Linked DNA regions of Drosophila melanogaster. The protein of the gene in region 1 interacts with the protein of each later gene in a biochemical or structural test. Each region holds a gene or a part of one and is shown on either strand. Other genes may lie near its edges.

Evidence for each region. The genes of interacting proteins can lie anywhere in the genome.
Region 2: the proteins of Ubr1 (region 1) and Lsd-2 form a complex in vitro, tested with the Drosophila melanogaster proteins (one study listed by BioGRID).

Annotation. Positions count from the first base shown.
Region 1 is NC_004354.4:16,964,161-16,971,595, forward strand, and holds the start of Ubr1 (Ubr1 ubiquitin ligase), read right to left. Parts: upstream 4,520-7,435; 5' UTR 4,350-4,519; intron 3,702-4,349; 5' UTR 3,513-3,701; coding exon 3,335-3,512; intron 1-3,334. UniProt on the Drosophila melanogaster protein: E3 ubiquitin-protein ligase which is a component of the N-end rule pathway. Recognizes and binds to proteins bearing specific N-terminal residues that are destabilizing according to the N-end rule, leading to their ubiquitination and subsequent degradation.
Region 2 is NC_004354.4:15,069,187-15,079,017, reverse strand, and holds Lsd-2 (lipid storage droplet-2), read left to right. Parts: upstream 1-2,797; 5' UTR 2,798-3,077; coding exon 3,078-3,270; intron 3,271-4,643; coding exon 4,644-5,081; intron 5,082-5,626; coding exon 5,627-5,677; intron 5,678-6,050; coding exon of another isoform or gene 6,051-6,232; intron 6,233-6,369; coding exon 6,370-6,746; 3' UTR 6,747-7,555; downstream 7,556-9,831. UniProt on the Drosophila melanogaster protein: Essential for embryogenesis. Required for normal deposition of neutral lipids in the oocyte.

The DNA.
Region 1 (7,435 bases):
CGTGATAATGATCATGATCGCGGCTATATTATTGGGCCTGGGCGACCGCAAAAGAGAACCACAGTCGCAGACAAGAGAAACCTTCGGGCTAAACGAGTTTTCGCAACCAGAGAAACCAAATAAAATCAAAATCAAATTCAAATTCAAATGCAAATACAAATACAAAAGCCAGCAATTTACAACAAATGCAGTTCAAGGTCGCCACAAACGATGTGAAAACTCTGCAGCGCAGAATCGAAAAAAAAAATACAATACTAAAAAGAGAGCGATAAGCTTACAATATAATCTATTATCAACGCATCTAACGTAGGGCTATCAGTGAAAAATGAAATATTTGTATGCATATGTACATACATATCTACTGCCTGCAATGCACATACAATAAAGACAAATTGAAAGTAACTAGCAGAGTACCTCCTGTACACTTTAAAGTTCCTTTAAATAATCTTCACGCTGCATTTTGCTATATCTCCAGGTAACATGGCTGCCTATATAAAAATGCATTTAAAACTGCGTGTGCGTCAGTTTACTGAGGCGTAATAGACTGGAACAAAGAAGGCGCCTGGAGCGGAAAATAAAAGAAAGAAATCGAAATCGAATCGAACTGAACTGAACTGAAATGCACTATACAGAAATGCCTCTATACTATGCCAGGAGGAAGAACGCCAGAGAAGAGGCCACCTCATCGGTTCCTGAATCACAGTGGATTATTCAGGAGCGGTACACTCAATTCTACAGGCACGATCACAAAAAGAGATCAAATGTGTGTAACAATATGATATAAAGATCACTTTTTAAACAATAATTACAAAAGTAAATACAATGTTTCCTAAAGTTTTTAGCAAAAGTACTCAATTAAACTCTCAACAAGACGTCATCAAAAGGTGACTGAATCGAAAATATATGCATAATTTAAACGATATTAAACTTGACTGCAAACATCATACGTAATTACAGCTTCCAATGAATTGTGCATATTTTTCGAACCAATAAATCTTGGTCATTCGCCCTTAGCATGGAAATTAATTATGGCACCCACTGTTGTACTGAAAATTTCTCGATGAAAAGAGGAAACAAAATTTAAAGGCTCAAATGCGGCAACACGATCGTTACAAAGAGCATTTCTGATTTCTGCAAGGGTAGGTGGTGGGCGATCGAGGGCATATAAATCTTGATAAATACGGACAACCACACCCACACCTTTTGTAAAATATTATATATATTTATGCCCAAAAATGTGTCAGCTGTTTGCTCCTTTTGCACAATGAAACGAGAGCGAAAGCGGAAAAAGAAACAAGACATCTGTGTGCGCCTAGAATGAGGTGGATATCCAACAAAGATAAGAAAGAAAGACTAAATTCGCAGAATGTGCAAGCGATTTGTACAAAAATTTTGTGTAATAATACATGAGTTTCCCAAGTTTGAATCATTTCTATTGAGACACACGACACGAGGCAAATGTCTTCGCACTTTGAGACCAGAATAGCCTCTATAAGGCGAACCAGCCAGAGATATGTATAAACGCTGAAAATCGACAAAAACTGGACACGTCAGGCGGTCGAGAAGACCTCCGCGGATGTGCACCTGGACCAGATAAACGCAGGTTGAATAAACTGCCTCCAAATACATATTTCTGTATATTTAATATTTAACTCTCTGGCTTATCAGTCCGGCAAGCAGCGAAGTCTGGCGATGCGATTCGTCTCCGTTCTCTGCGAAATCCGGCTGTCCACCTCATCTGTATCTGTGGCATTCGTCATTGTGCATCGGGATTCGAGTATAGTAGTCTACGTACAATTAGACAGCAGGCAAATATCAGCGGAACGGATATATGTATGTACAGGGGGTATGGTATGGTATGGTATATGCCCATGGAAACATAACAACATTGGTACCCATGCCCTCCATATGCTTAGCAGCTGATAAGGAACGATAAGAGCCATGAGATGGGGTAAAAACCCGATTAGCAAAAGCGGAAAGCAAACATTGTTTGAGTAATTGGCAAAAATATTCGCTATGACAAGAACGGATTACTCAATGAAGCCGGGAAATGAGGAGGGTTCTTGAAGGAGCTACACTGGAAATGATTTCCATTACCTACTATTTGTTTTACAAATTGGTCATAATATCAATATATTTTTGTATTGTATATTTCCATCCTTGGCATACAAACAAATAGTTTCTCGCGTGGAAAATTGCAACTCCTCTCGTTTTATTTCTCAATTTCCTATTAAATCAATATTTTATTAACAGAAAGTCGTCGACAAATTTGAGAGGCTTCAAGTGCTTTCCTAGGAATCTAGATTCTCCCAATTTGTTTGTTTCAATAGTCGCACATTTGCCCCTCCAGCTTCGGATAATGTTCACTTCTGGTGGAATTAGGTGCAAAACGAGTTTGTTTACTTAATTCATTTGTTGCCAGGCCGGGCTTGAGCCATTGTTGGATCAACTTGCAAACACTGGGCCAAAATGAGTGCAGGTAATTTAAAATTGCCACAAAAAATGTCATTCATTTTGAACTTGAATATGAAAATATTTGCTTATGCTAGTATTTAGAGATCTTCTATCTTCTCTGATAGGAATTGAAACATTCGATTGCCCATTTGAAAAAGAGCCTGAATTAATTTTTGTGTTAATTCAATCAGAAGATTTCTCACAGTGTACGATGAGAGTGCATAAAAGGCGAGACAGGTAGAAAACCGAGAAGGTGGCGATTTTCGAGCTGGCAAACTTGAAACTTGGCTGGCCAATTGAAAGGAAAACTTGGCGCAGCAAGGCACGGCGCCGAGGAAAAACAAATTCGCGGAAATGTGAAATAGACGAAACGTGAGAACAGCAACAAAGTCAACAAAAGCGTGCAATTGCTCAATGGCAATAAACAAAAGACGAAAGCAGAACAAAAATAGTACTAAAACACACGGCGAATAATGATAATTCAAGAGCGAGAGTTTTTAATGGGATTCGGCCAACTTTTGACGCCCCATCGATTTGGCATTGTGGTAGTTACCATTATTTGTTTACCATTATTTTTAATCGAAAAAGTGGTGTATCCTATTTGAAAACTTTTTTTTTGAAATTAACCTTTCTTGGAATTGAAAACAATCCGATTGCACTCTTTTCTATTGGATTGATCAATGCCTATATATGTATCATTAATATCTCTATACAGGGTCTGCCTGCGTAATTTTGAGTTCTGATGTATGGGGTCATACCAGAAACTAGCTGTTTCCCGAGCGCAATAAAACTAGTTATTAGATCTTTTAGCCCTTCCCGCAGATTCCTACGATCAAGGATTGTGACTATGACTATGCGATGACTGTGCATCTCGACTCACCTTTAACTGTAGCGCTAGTCTGGTAATCAAAATACTTGGGAGACTCGCGCTTTAAGAACTCGATGATATCGGAGCGGTCTAGTGTGCCCGCCTGGCGCTTGAGGCGCCACTCCTTGAGCGGCGAACTGCACTCGGCAGGGGGCGCCACAACGACGTCCTCCATGTCGTAGCGATCCATCGTTGCTCTCGCTTGCACTCGCACTGTCTCCTCTCTTTTTCTCTTTCCTGGTGAGGATGAGAAAAACAAAATAATTGCAGCGGGGCTGTGTATGTTCGTGTGTGCGATGGGGACGTCTCGCTCTCTATCTTTCTTCCTTTCTCTATCGTCCGTGTGTCCTTGCTATTCCTGCGACAGTAGTTGTTGTTGCTGATGTTGTTGTTGCATTGGTTGTCACATGTGTTTTTTGCGAAAAGCAAAAAAAACGGGATTAGGTTAGGATGCGGGACAACAAAAATGTTCGATTGCGCTCTCGCTCTCATGTCGTAGAAGAATTTTCGATTCTTGTTTTGGAGCACAGACACTTACTTGTTAATAAAGAAATTATATTTTTACAACAGTGTCGAAATTTACAAAAGCTGACAATTCAATCGAGGAAAAATTTGTGTACGAATGGCGAGGAAACACTTAGTGTGCAGCTGTTGCTTTGCACTTTTTCCTTTGTATCAGCCAGTTGTGATTTTTTTTATTTCATTTTTGACAGCAAGCAAAAGCAAAAAAAAAAGAGAGACGGAGCGCATGGCAAAACGCGAGAAACAGTAACTTCAAACACACGCACACACATGCACGGCCACGGGCACTATTTTTGGTTTTATTATATTTTTATAATAATCGTTTATTATCTACAATTTTCCTTTTGGTTGCCTTTACGTGCGCTTAGCACCTTAAAAAAATAGCTTCTCTTTTTCTTTATTTTTCACTTTCTGACAATCACACACACGAACACGCACACCAACTTAAATTCACTCTACTGCGTTTCGCTTTCGTTTTCTTATTTTCCCAAACTTTTGCACGTACCTATTTCTTTTTTTGTTTGGCTCGTGGTGTATTCACGAGCAATTTAGACCTGTGTTGTTAGTTAAATCTACTTATTTCAACTGGCACAACGAAGATTCGTCTGCCAATTTCGTAACCTAAACGCAAAAAAACAAGACTGTCATCGATATAAGCAGGCGTTTTATGTCTGCGTCTATCGGGCAATACGGTACGTCGATATCTGGTCGTGCTAACATCGATAGCATGCGAGCGGTAATAGTGAGTGCACACTACGAAGTTGCTCATCAATCGCTATCGATAAGAAATCCATTTTCCGCCATTCAGTTATGTATATGGTAATTGAAATTGTTTTCCATTTGTCAAAATAAAACTAAAGATGATTTCAAATTGTTTGCCTAATGTACACGCTGTATTTACGTTTAGACACTAATTGCAATAAGCAATAGTACATTTTAGGTAAATGTTGTAGTGAAAAAAACCAAATATATCTAAAAGGGATACAATCAATTAAAGACCCAGATTAATTTAAAAGCCCCGAATGCAAAAAACAACAAAATATCAAAACCAGATTTTTCTATTTAATCTTACATACACACAAAAATGTCTTTATTGTTTCGCTTTTTTGGTTTTTTAGTTGCTTTGGATCGCTTTGTTGGTATACTTGTGTCTGTTTGTTGGAAATACATAGTTTTGTTCGTTTTTTCGCTATATCTATTTGGATTCGGTTCGATTTCGGCTTTGAATACTTTATGCTGAGATGTTGTTTTGAAACCAAATCACTTCGTTCAATACTGTCCAGTTTTGGTCTTTTTTGTGTTAGATGGTGTGGTTTCTGTGCTCAACTAAATAATCAGGCATGCTCCGGTAGTCGTAATTTTGTTTCGATTTCGATTTGGGAAAAATCTTTCGATTTCGTTATTAGGTGCTCCGGTTTTGTAAATAGCATTATTTACAAACAACACTTTTGGCCATCCTCTAGATAAGTTATTGAATTCTTTGATATTGTATCTGCCTGTTTCGTTTCACCAACAATATGGAATTCTTCCCAAAAACACTTGTCGATGTACCTATAACTCCTTGCCAAATCGAAACTTTTTGTTGCCGAAGGCAAAATTCTGTTTGACCAATGTTGAGGTGTGGTCAGAAATAAAATTTTTATAAAATAACTAAGTGGCAAAATGATCTTGTGGTGATGTGAAATAAACATCAATAGACCACTGAGTAAACTATTATTTGCCCTTTTGAAAATAAGATCTGATTTGCTAAAAAAAAAAGGCATTTACTTTTCATTTCGGATAGACAAAAGTGTCCGTTTTACAAATCGAAAACTTTCTTACGATTTCGAAAACCGGAGCACAGATTTTTCAAAATAGTTAAATTTGTACGAATTTGATTACCGGAGCATGCCGGAATATGTGGGTTTTCCATCGTTTCCTTTGTACTTTAGGGAAATGAGTTGTATGTTGCAGTTTGTATTTGTTGTTAGCTTTGCGTTTACATTATTTGGTTCCACGTAGTTAATGGCTTTTTGTCGCTTTGGTAGCTTGGAATACATTAAATTCTGCCTTAGCACAATTACATATATAGTTTTCCTTTAGTTTATTATAGAATTGTTGTTTTAAACATTTATAAATATGCATTTATCGTTTAGTTAAGTTTAACATTCATATTTATTCTCGGGTCTGTTTTTGGGCATTCTCTTCATTTGGTTTAGTTAACTTGGGTTTCAAGTGGCTGCGACCCCCCATCGTGTACAACATTTAAAGCTTGACTATATTGTTTTATTTGGATTTCTTAGTTTTAGTTGGATTCCGGAAGTCGGGGGCCTCTCGTCGGTCCCACTACAATAAAATTTCAATTTCAATTTCGATTTCGCTTATTGACGCAACATTTAACACCTAGGCTTTTGACAAGTAAATTCCATTTCAAATATGGAATTCGCAACTTCCTCCTTCCGTTTAATGTTAATGGTAAAAAAATCTAAAAAAAATTGTTTCGCCACTTGTTTTTTTTTCTTGGTTTAGTTCTCGCTAAAGCACACCAATTCCCCCCACATATGTACATATATACATATGTATAAAACATATGTGTCCTGATCCAATGCGATCGATATACATAGGGGGCTTTGCAAGCCTGGGACTTGTCTTTAGTGTGGCACAATCTACGCTCCATCCACTCTCCATATATATATTTAGATTAAAAATTAGATCTGTTTTGGATGCTAGACAGCTGGAAATACCCTGTATCCACAGCATTGAACGTCGAATGAATATGAAGATTAAAGCTTTTGCACACCGAAAGTCGGGAGAGAAGAATCGCATTCGCGATCACGATCGGGATCGGGATGAGTATCAATGGAGTACAGGGTATTTTATAGTCGCCTACTCTCGACTATCACAAACATTCAATGGGGCATTAAGCTTTCAATTCTCCTCTCCAAATTTTTCATGACTACTCACAAACACTTGTTGGCTATTTAAAAGATATTTCCACCATCTTTCATTTGGACTGATTTGTGCAATTGTTTCAATAAGTTTCGAATTCGATTAGCGCGCTCAATTTCGCTTTCACATCTCATTTAAAATTTAATCGTTAATATATACAAAAAAAATAACGTTCAGTCAATTATAACTATATGTTTATACACATCGAAACGAACACGTAAAGAAACAACAATGAGGTCTAAACGAATTACATGCACCATGACACACACATATCGCGCTGCATTCGCCATGCGCCATTAGCAATTAGGTAAATGTAAATCCCCTACATTTGTATCCTTACGTCAAGGACATCGACATCTCGCCGGCATGTTACACCATCGTCACCCCTCTCGCTCCGTCAGTTTGGTTAATTATTTAATACACATATGTTAATAATCAGTCGCATAAATGAATCACCTTGCTTTGGTTTTGTTTCTAATTACTCTGTTTTCTCGATTCGCATTCACACTCGATTCTCGCCGGCGAAATCATATAAACCGAAATATACAGAAACATATATAGTCGAGTTGCCCGACTTTGGTGACTAGTTCTCCACATTTAATGGCTCGTGTCTGAATTAAGTTTTTCGAGTTTATTCTAGGGAAAAAACACGATCTACAAGTT
Region 2 (9,831 bases), 1.9 Mb from region 1:
CTTCTGTTGATGTATATACATACATATGTACATCCATATAAAAAGCTGAGGAAATCAATGATTTGAGCATTTCCAACAGTTTTTTTTTTTTTTAATTATAAATACTTTTTTGCTCAACCTACTAAAACGTAATTTAATCTTAACATTTCATTTCAAAATTATTCACCTTGATCAACCTATTTATCTGTAAAAAGAAAATATGAAATAGCTTCGTAATATACTCGTTACAAACCGTCCAATATTTATTCATTCCAGTAATCTTCATTATCAGCTAGTGAAATCAGTTAGGTAAACATGGTTGAAGTGATTTCCTTCGTTTACTGTAATTTCCAGATACCACGCCTACAAAGTCCACATAAAAAACTAAAATAAGTACAACAAACTGAACGAATCGGTTACATTGGTTTATTTACGTCCGATATCGCCGATCGGAACCCGGACCAAGTAGTGACGATAAGTCCAACACCTGCTCTTGGTTACAACATAAACAGTGTTGTGACGACATCTCCGGACTTTGGAACTACGGACGACTAGCCATTGGTAACCTTCCCAACTCGTGGGCCTGGTTAATATGCGCATTAGCGGTTAAGCCTTATCAGACAGACATAATTGCCTTATATAGCTCATAATTCACTGAGGGGCATTAACCCATTTTGGATTTTTGGAATCTAGGTGTTTCGAAAGATGGAGAATATTTTGATCCCTTGGGTTTTTTGGGATCTAATTGAAATCCAAGCGAATAAGGTTATTTTCCAAAGTTTTCATTAACTCTTCATCTAACTCAAGGAAATTATTCCTTTATGAACTTATTGTAGATTTTAGGGACTAAAAACGTGCTGATGGATGGTTTAAAAAAAAAGGAGGATGGTGCTTCGTTTTAGGGGTTAACTTAGCACGTTTCGCGCTTGTAGTTTTCGTAATTTGTTTTCGTTTTGTCACTAATCGGACTTTGGATTGCCAAGCGAATTACACAGCATTCGGCAAGTATTACGTAGAATACTGAATGTAGATGTTTGACTGTGCAATGGCGTATTATCGATGCGGTGGCAGGGGTTCAAAGGTCGCACGAAGCTTTTGCGTGGCGTTGCCCATTGGCCATTGATAATCGAAGTGCCCCCATACACAGAAATACATATGTACGTATGCACATATATGTACATAAATATATATTGCAATGTACTTCAATCTAAACTTTGTTTGCGCCCGACACAACGTATTAATTAATCTAGTTGTCAAGCATGCCGAACAAACGTAGGCACTGTCTCTCTTCTTTTCCCAAATTTCTTTCTTTCTCTTCAGCTCTCTTGTTTTCTGAACAGAATAATTGGACCCCCCTCCAAGGACAACACAGAAGAATTGCACTATGAACTCTGCATAGATCGGGAAAAAATGATCAAAATTAGTTTGATCATGATAGAAGAATTGTTTATAATTTGATAATGGTACATTCTTTCACCTGATTTTCTAATTATGTTTTACCTCGAAAATAAAGATAATGAAAATTGTTTCAAAACTATTTTAAGTTTCATTTAAAACAGATATAGTACACAATTGTACTTATTTCAAACAAAGCGTTTGTACTATAATAATTCATCATAACAATTTAAGTGTACTGTTCAAAAACTATAGTACATTTATTCATATTATAATTACAGTTTGTCAAGAAACTGTTTACACACTGTGAAATAAGTTGAATTTTTGACTTTAAAGCTAAAAATTAAGTGTTTTTTGCTTAATTAAACGCAATTTTTGTATAAAATAAAATTAAACAGTATTTATTTTACTTATAAATCAAAAAATAAATTAAATATAATTTAATTAAATATAAAATAATAATTCGCTTCAAGCAAAGTCAAACAAATTTCATTAGAAGCGTTGTAAAAAGCAATGCAAAGCCAAAAATAACGGAAAAATCGAGTTCGTTCTAAGAAAAAGAACAAAACAAAGTAGGAAAACAAAATGTGTAAAGAGTTTCTTGACAGTCTCAAAGGTGTGTAAACTTGGATTATGTTGTTTATTTTCTTGTATATTTAATATTTTAATATTTGTTTTTTGATTTATAAGTAAAATAAATATTGTTTAATTAAATTTTATAAAAAAAATTGCGTTTAATTAAGCAAAAAACCTTTAATTTTAGCTTTAAAGTCAAAAATTCAACTTATTTCACAGTATGTAAACAGTTTCTTGACAAACTGTATATGGGGTCCTCAAAGAGAGTCCTAATCTCAAACTCTCGCTGATACTGCTTTGGCGCTCTGCTCTCTTCGCAGCGAAGCTATCTTACAGCAGCAAACGATCTAGCTATTTTCAAGATATATGTTGCAAAGAAATGTTCCTAAGCTCATTTATATTATTTGGTTATTTTAACCTTTTTATTTGTTTAGCACTGTTTTTTCACTGTCTGCGATATTTTATTACATTATTATTATTTATTACTCAACATTTTTGATAAACAAATTTGTGTATGGTTAAGTACACAAGTTCGAAGATTTTAATATTATAATTATATTTTGTAGTAATCGTGCTTGTCAAAGCTCATGGTTAAATTTTAATAATACAAAGTGTATTATAGCCACATGACCCTTGACTAGGCATAAATCTTGGAAAAAACACACTGCGGTTTGAACAAAAAGTAAGCTCTATTGGTAAAAACTGTACTTTTTAGCTATTTGACTAAAATTTCCTCATCCACTTCTTGCCACCTGCGGCATCACTGTTGCTCATAGCTTTTTGTTGCTCGGCGCTGGCAACACTGGCGGCGGCACTCGCTCATATAATAAACCAGCCGCGCAGCTCGCAAATCAGTCAGAGAGTCCCAACGAGCAGACGTGAGCAGACGTGCCAAAAAGTGCTAGGAATAAAATAAAACAGAGTGCTTCCAGAACGCAGACACACGCATACCCTACATTCACACACTCACTCGCAGGTTAAGCTGTTTTTTTGTTCGTGAAAGAAAAGAAGCAAGAGGCGAAAAGAAAAGTGCGGTGGCAAGCGGAAGAGCTTGATAGCGAAAGACAGAAAGAAAAAGTGAAAAGGGCAGCAGAAAGCAGCGCAAGAGGAACCAAAGAAAACTGATCATGGCCAGTGCAGAGCAGAAACACGCCACCGGGAACGGAACAACTGGCAATGGAACGGCGATGAACGATGTGGACCAGCCCAAGGATGCCAAGGACCTTCTGCCGCACCTTGAGTCCCTCGAGAGGATCATCAAATTGCCCGTGGTAAATGCGGCATGGGACAAGTCCCAGGATGTCTATGGCAAAGTAAAAGGTAAGTGCAGCAAAGGAAAACAGAAGAAAATGAAAATAAGACCTCCTCCGGGTGCATTGAACTCGCTCAAGTCCCGTTACTTTGGCGCGCCTAACGGCACATATAGAGAATAAACGACCGGTGAAGGAGGAGGTAAATAGCAACAACAATTGCAGCGACCATATGCACTCGAAGCCGTAATCGAAACCGAAACCGTTGCTTTTTTGACTTTGCTTCGCCATTTTATTTCGAGTTGCAATTCGAACTCGAAACGCACATAGAGGGCAGAAACAACTTTTTTTTGTTCAACTTTTTTTTCGTTTAATTGGCCAGAAATTAAGCTCAATTGATATAAATTGATTGCCGGTCGTTCAATAATCGAAATCACAGCAACAACAACCATGACCTAGCAATAAGAAAAGCAAAAAGGCCGGCACTTTGCCCTCGTGACGCGTTGCGTTCAAAGTTCGCTTAAAATTTACATAATAATAAAACAATCTTGGCCAACGCAATAGAGAGCGCAAGAGAGATAGAGTGAGGAGAGAGAGAGCGGTGGCTGACGGCAAAAAGGCCACCGCACGTAGGCTGCAGCCGCAGAGGCGCCGTCAACAAAAGGGGGCTCGTTTTGACAAGAGGAAAAGCAAAGCAGACCCAATGGCAACGCCACTGGCACTGGCAGTGCTGCTCGATCTGACCAAAAGTTAAGCTAAACTTGCACTTTAATTATAGCTAAAATAATGTTACTAGTTTTCTTCTCAATATTGATCCCAGCCTAAGTTTGCCGATCGTAAAAGCACAGATCCCTGAAAAAACAAATACTTAATGCATTTACTAGACAATACCAATTACCGCTGTCGAATAAAGCTAGATTTGGCTGGAAACTAACTAAAGCGGGCAGCACTTATGCTAAGGGGCTCTTGGGGTCTCACCGTCAGCAGCAACGACAACAAAAATTCTAGTTGGACTTTCGACTTGTTTGTGATATTTCGCAGTTGTTGTTGCTGCAGTTGCTGGGACTGGAATTGGAATGGATGATGTGTTTGACGAGTGACGAACTATCAAAGTCTAAACTGGCGGGCCCCAGACAGATAGAATGTAGGGGTCCAAGGGGCCCTGGGGTTCGTGAACTGCGCAGTTGCTTATCAGCCAGAAATGCTACATATTTATTATTACTATTATTATTGTTATTGTTATTATTATTACGGTTGCAACTGATAAGCGCGCTCTTCGTACTTGTGTCACATGTGTGGGGTATTACTACACAATTCTAGAAATTCTAGAAGTTCTAGATCTCTAAATTAAACAGGCTGTTAACTTTTAAATTAAACTTATACTAAGACATATAATTTCCAATCCGTATTTTTCATCGTAATGTGAACTACTCATATTTTCAGGCAAAAATCGTGTCTTCGAATGGGCTTTAACGGCGGCCGAGGATTGTGTGACGCGCGCGGTGACAACGGCGGCTCCCTTCGTCACCAAACTGGACCGACCCATCGCCTATGTGGACCAGACCCTGGTCAAGGGCATCGATAAGCTTGAGGTAAAGGCGCCGATCATCAAGGACACACCCCAGGAGATCTACAACCAGGCCAAGAGCAAGGTGATCGATGTGGTGCAGCCCCATCTGGAGCGCGTCGTCAAGTTCAAGGCAGCTGGTCAGCAGAAGGCCGCCTCGCTGAAGGATCTCGCCTGGCAGAAGGCCAACGAGGTGCTGGCCACCCAGTACGGCAGTCTGGCTGTCAACGGAGTGGACACCACCACGGCGCTGGCCGAGCGCCTCCTTGAATACTACTTCCCCAAGTGCGAGTCGGATGTCGAGGAAGATAATGGTGAGTGTTGACGGTAGAGTTACAAAAAAGTAGGTCACAATGTTAGGGTACTTTTGTTTATATATTTGTTCATTGGAGCCGTAGAACAGTGGTTTCACTTGGAATCTCTCAATTGCCATGACGTAAAATTTAATATAATATAAGTTAGTTGATGCAACTTAATTGAAATCTTGTTGTACATTTCATTACGTTTAAAACTACTTTTTTAATTTATTTAATATCAAATTCATAAGATCATTTTGACTTCACTTGAATTAATAGTCTTGTCCTGTCGTACTTCCATTATAATTTTTATATATATTCTCTTTGACACTTCTTTCTAAAAATTAAAAATACTGTCTTCAGAGCGAATAAGTTTAGAATTCAGTTTTATTTAAGAACTCTGGATGATGGTGGAGAACATTATTTATTGGCTCCGTACCATTTTTCATCTGTTGGCACAAAAATTTAAAATTAGCTTGTTTGCCTTCTGCTGCCCTCACTTTTTTTTGCGCGGTGTGTAAACAAAATTCTAAATATAAATCGTAAATATTTTTAATTCTCAGATGATAAACAAAATGCCGTCGTGCAGAATGGCAAGAGTTCTGAAAATGACAGTAAGTTCCCGATCCCCGATCCGATCTTTTGTTCGTTCGATCGTTTGTTTCTTTGTCTACCACTAACACACCGTCTAATAAGCATAAAAATAGCAAGTAAATAAAAAAGCATGAACACTAATCAAGCATGGCGATAATTTCACACACAAAACGAGAACAAAATGGGAATATAATATACAGAAATATTTACGATTTCGAGTCGAGCGATAAATGTTGGCTAGCCTTGGGATTTCCGAAACCCAGATCCTGATCCTGGTCCTTTCCCCGCCCCTAACATTAATTAACCACCCAACCCCCACCAAAAAGTGACACTTATTTTCTAAATTAATATCTCTCTCTCTCTCTATCTCTCTTTCTCTGTGCCATTTGTTAGTTATTATTGTTGGGGAGAGCTACGACCGGGATCACGATCAAGAGATTGATGATAGATTCTTAGTGGCCGCCTCGACGGTATTTCTGTCCATGTCCCTGAAAATCATAACCGAAATTGTTGAGTACGTTAGAAGAAATCCAGAGATCGTAGGCATTATCGATAGGGAACTCAACAAGTTTATGGTAAGCACACACAAGCCCACACAGCGCCAAAGTTACTAATCAATCAATGACTTGTTTATAACCCGTAACAAATACTCAAATTACAATTGCTTGCTTCCCTCGTTAATGGTGATTGCCTTTGCTCAATTTACTTGTAGTGCCAGTTCCCGCCAGCGAGGATCCAGTCCTACACACAGTACAGACAGTTGGACGGCTATCCAATAAGATCTCGCGTCGCGTCTATCGAAATGTCTCCCGACAGATCAAGCAGGTCCAGAAGGGCAACATCAACGACTATCTGAGCTCCCTGATAGCCGCCCTCAAGTTGCATCAGTACATCAATTTTATTAACTCGTCGATGGGCACGAATGTGGAGCAGTCTGGTGGCAGCAGCAGTGACGCCTGTTCGCCATTTGGAACCACCACTAGCACCACTACCACCACTACCACCAGCTCCACCAGCAACAACAAGCCCGTTGTTGCCTTGCCACATGTGGCCAAAAGCAAACGGGCGCCGGCGGTGTCGTCTCAGTAGTGGAGAAACAGCAGCTCATCTACAATTATATCTATCTATAGCTAGATATTATCCTCTTTCACGCACGCTCACCACCTAAGATACCCCTCTACCTACCACCCACGCCGCCCATTTTATAATGTATTTTATAAATTCTTTTTTTTTTTTTATTGCGTACTATTTCATTGAGTGTACTAGCCGATACGAGTAGTACTTCCATAGAGGATCATTTAAAGTGGAGAAGGTTATTCGAACGCACGCCCAAGAAGTCCGCCTCCTCCTGCGCCACCTGCTTTGTAAATATTTATTTGAAGTATAGCCCTCACCAATCCTAGTTATAAGATATAGTAGTCGCAGAGATCCGGGAGTCAGAAGAGAGCGTTTTTTTTTCGTCAATTTTAGCTGTGCTAAAGTGCCACGCATGCATTGAATAATACATTATAAATATATACACACACACCTATATATGCCTAACATATACGCAGATATATGATATATATACATATAGAGAGAAACACACGCACACGGTTGGCATAGTGCGGTTTAGCTGTACGTATACGTAATATAATACCTAATGCTATTTCTATATCTATTTAAATTCCATTGTACGCTCGCTGGGAGCCCAACCAGATGATGTTTAATTGCTAATGAAAATGAATTATGCCTAATATATATCCATACATATATATATATATATATAACACAACACCCCCCCCCTCTCCCCTCACACACTTGTATGGAGAACCTAGCCATAATGTTTGCTCTAAACAACTAGATTGATAATATTAAATATTAATAAAAAGAACCAACGCAAAACTGGAACGAAGAACAAGAGAATTGCCAACGAATTTCTTTTAATTATTTTTGCCTCTGCCACTCGATGATGAGCGGAAGGGGGTGGGGGGAGAAGGAGGAGCGCTGTAGCTCCTTCTGCCCCCTATCTGATTAGGCGCCTTATCGGGACAGCACTGTACGGTCCGCTGATTTATTTCGAGTTCAGTGTAGAGTTCAGTCGCTGCAGCGAATGAATTTATGGAGCACTTGCTGCCCAGATAAGGCTATATGTATGTATGTATGTACACAATGTTTCCGAACATGTGATATTAAAGTGCGTTTTGCTCGAAATCGGAAATCGCTGCTAAAACCATGTGCTTCATAAATGTATATCAACTAAATGTTTCAGCGCACACTTCAGTTACAAATATTAGCTGGCTAGATAATACCTACATTTTTCTTTAGTTGTTAGTTACAATGACGTATGGGAACTACTTCTGCTTGCCCATTTGGCCCAGTTCCAGTTTTAAGTTCCCACTTTCTTGAGCCGCACTGTCGCCCAGTGGACTTGTGACTCTGTCCCTGTCGATAATGACGGCGTTAATGGCCGTGCAATTATCCGTCTTGTAGATTGGGCAAAACGTCGACGTCGGCTTCTCGGAGTTTCCTTTTCATTTCGTTTGGCTTCGCCACTCCACTTCCTTTGCGGATTCTCCCCTGATGCTCCACCATCTCATTTGTATGCTCCACGTCTGGCCGATCGCTTTAATTTGCGCTCCCGACCAGAGGAACATGCCAGGGGCTCAGGTGTCTGTCCAAAGTCTGGACTAGGTTCCAGTTTGAACGCCTGGTGCCTGGGGAATCAATCTCAGGTCCAGGCCCATAACCAGACCCAGCATACTTGGCATAATTTTGAGTTTTGCGAAATGCATTTGGTTTGAAAATATTCATGAGTTCGGTCTGGCCAGAAGAGGGCTTCGCTGAGGTATTGGTATTTCTTGTGGAACCCATGGAACCCATGACTTGCTCGACGGGTTCCGAAACCGCAGTCTAACTAATGCGGCATGCACAAGGAGAAAAAATTGGTACAAAGTAAAATCAATCACTTTTGAAAATTACTTTCAAAATAACTTAGATTTTAATAATTGTAACTGGTAACTAGTAGAATACCTAGAAATGCGCAATTCTTATCGAATTTGAAAAGCTTAGACCAATTCTCCGTATTATGAGCGCAAAAAATTCCATTTTCAAATAACATTCATTAATAGCCATGATTGTCTTATTGGTTCTTTTCGATAGAAGAATCATTATTGATATTTTGATAAGTAAATCTACTCCTTGTGCTCTACAACACAATTGTAGGACTCTTGATACCATATTGATATTGATAGGTAAATCCGATTCTTCCGATTGAAGACTTGATGCCATCATGATAAGTAAATCTTCGCTGATTAACTTTCTTGATGGGTAGATCCTCTGTGTAAGTGCAATGCATCGATCGTTTGTCGGTCCGTTCGATGATCATGGAGGTAACGATCGTCATTGGACAGCCCCCAATGTAATGGAAATGCCAACCGCAAGGTGTGTACACTTCCAAAGGGGGGGGGGCCTCCGTGTGTAAAGATGTTAATGGACCCGGACTTTGGACCTGGCCTCTCGAGCCGGTCTCCCCGTTCAGATTCCGATTCTTCTCGCAGCGATGATGACGAGGTCTGGTCTTCCAGTCTTCGCCTGGCAACGACAATTCTTATCGCGGTGAAAGGGGGGGGGGAGCGGTGGAGAGGAGAGAGTGGACCCATAAAGGCGTTCCAACTATAAACGTAATCAAGAGTAAGTACTATTAAAAAAAAAAAGAAAAACTGAATGACTTTATAAAACACACACAAATACAAACACAGACGAGAGGGAAGAGACCCAAGAAAGAGAGTTGGTGCGGAAGTGGTTGGGGGGCAGGTGGTGGTAAAGCCTCAGGATGAGCCCCCGCCTTCGGCGTAAGGGGCGTGTCATCCTTTGATCAACACGAGTGCGAGCAAGACGGGCGAGGTGCAAAGTGCAGAAAGTGGCGTGATTCTTATTATTCATTCTCTCGCTTCAGATTATTGAGTATGATATTGCACGTATATGTATACATACATATATGGGTATTATTGCGCCGACTTCTCTGATCTCGTCGTGCATCATTCTCTCCTGCGTTGCACCTAACTGATAAGAATCTGCGTCAGAGGCTCGGATCTGGAGGTTATATCAGTTTATTCGGCTAGAAGAATCGAGTGCAACGCAACAAGCGGATTTTAAATTCGGTAGCCAAATACTTAGAATCTTCGCAAAGATT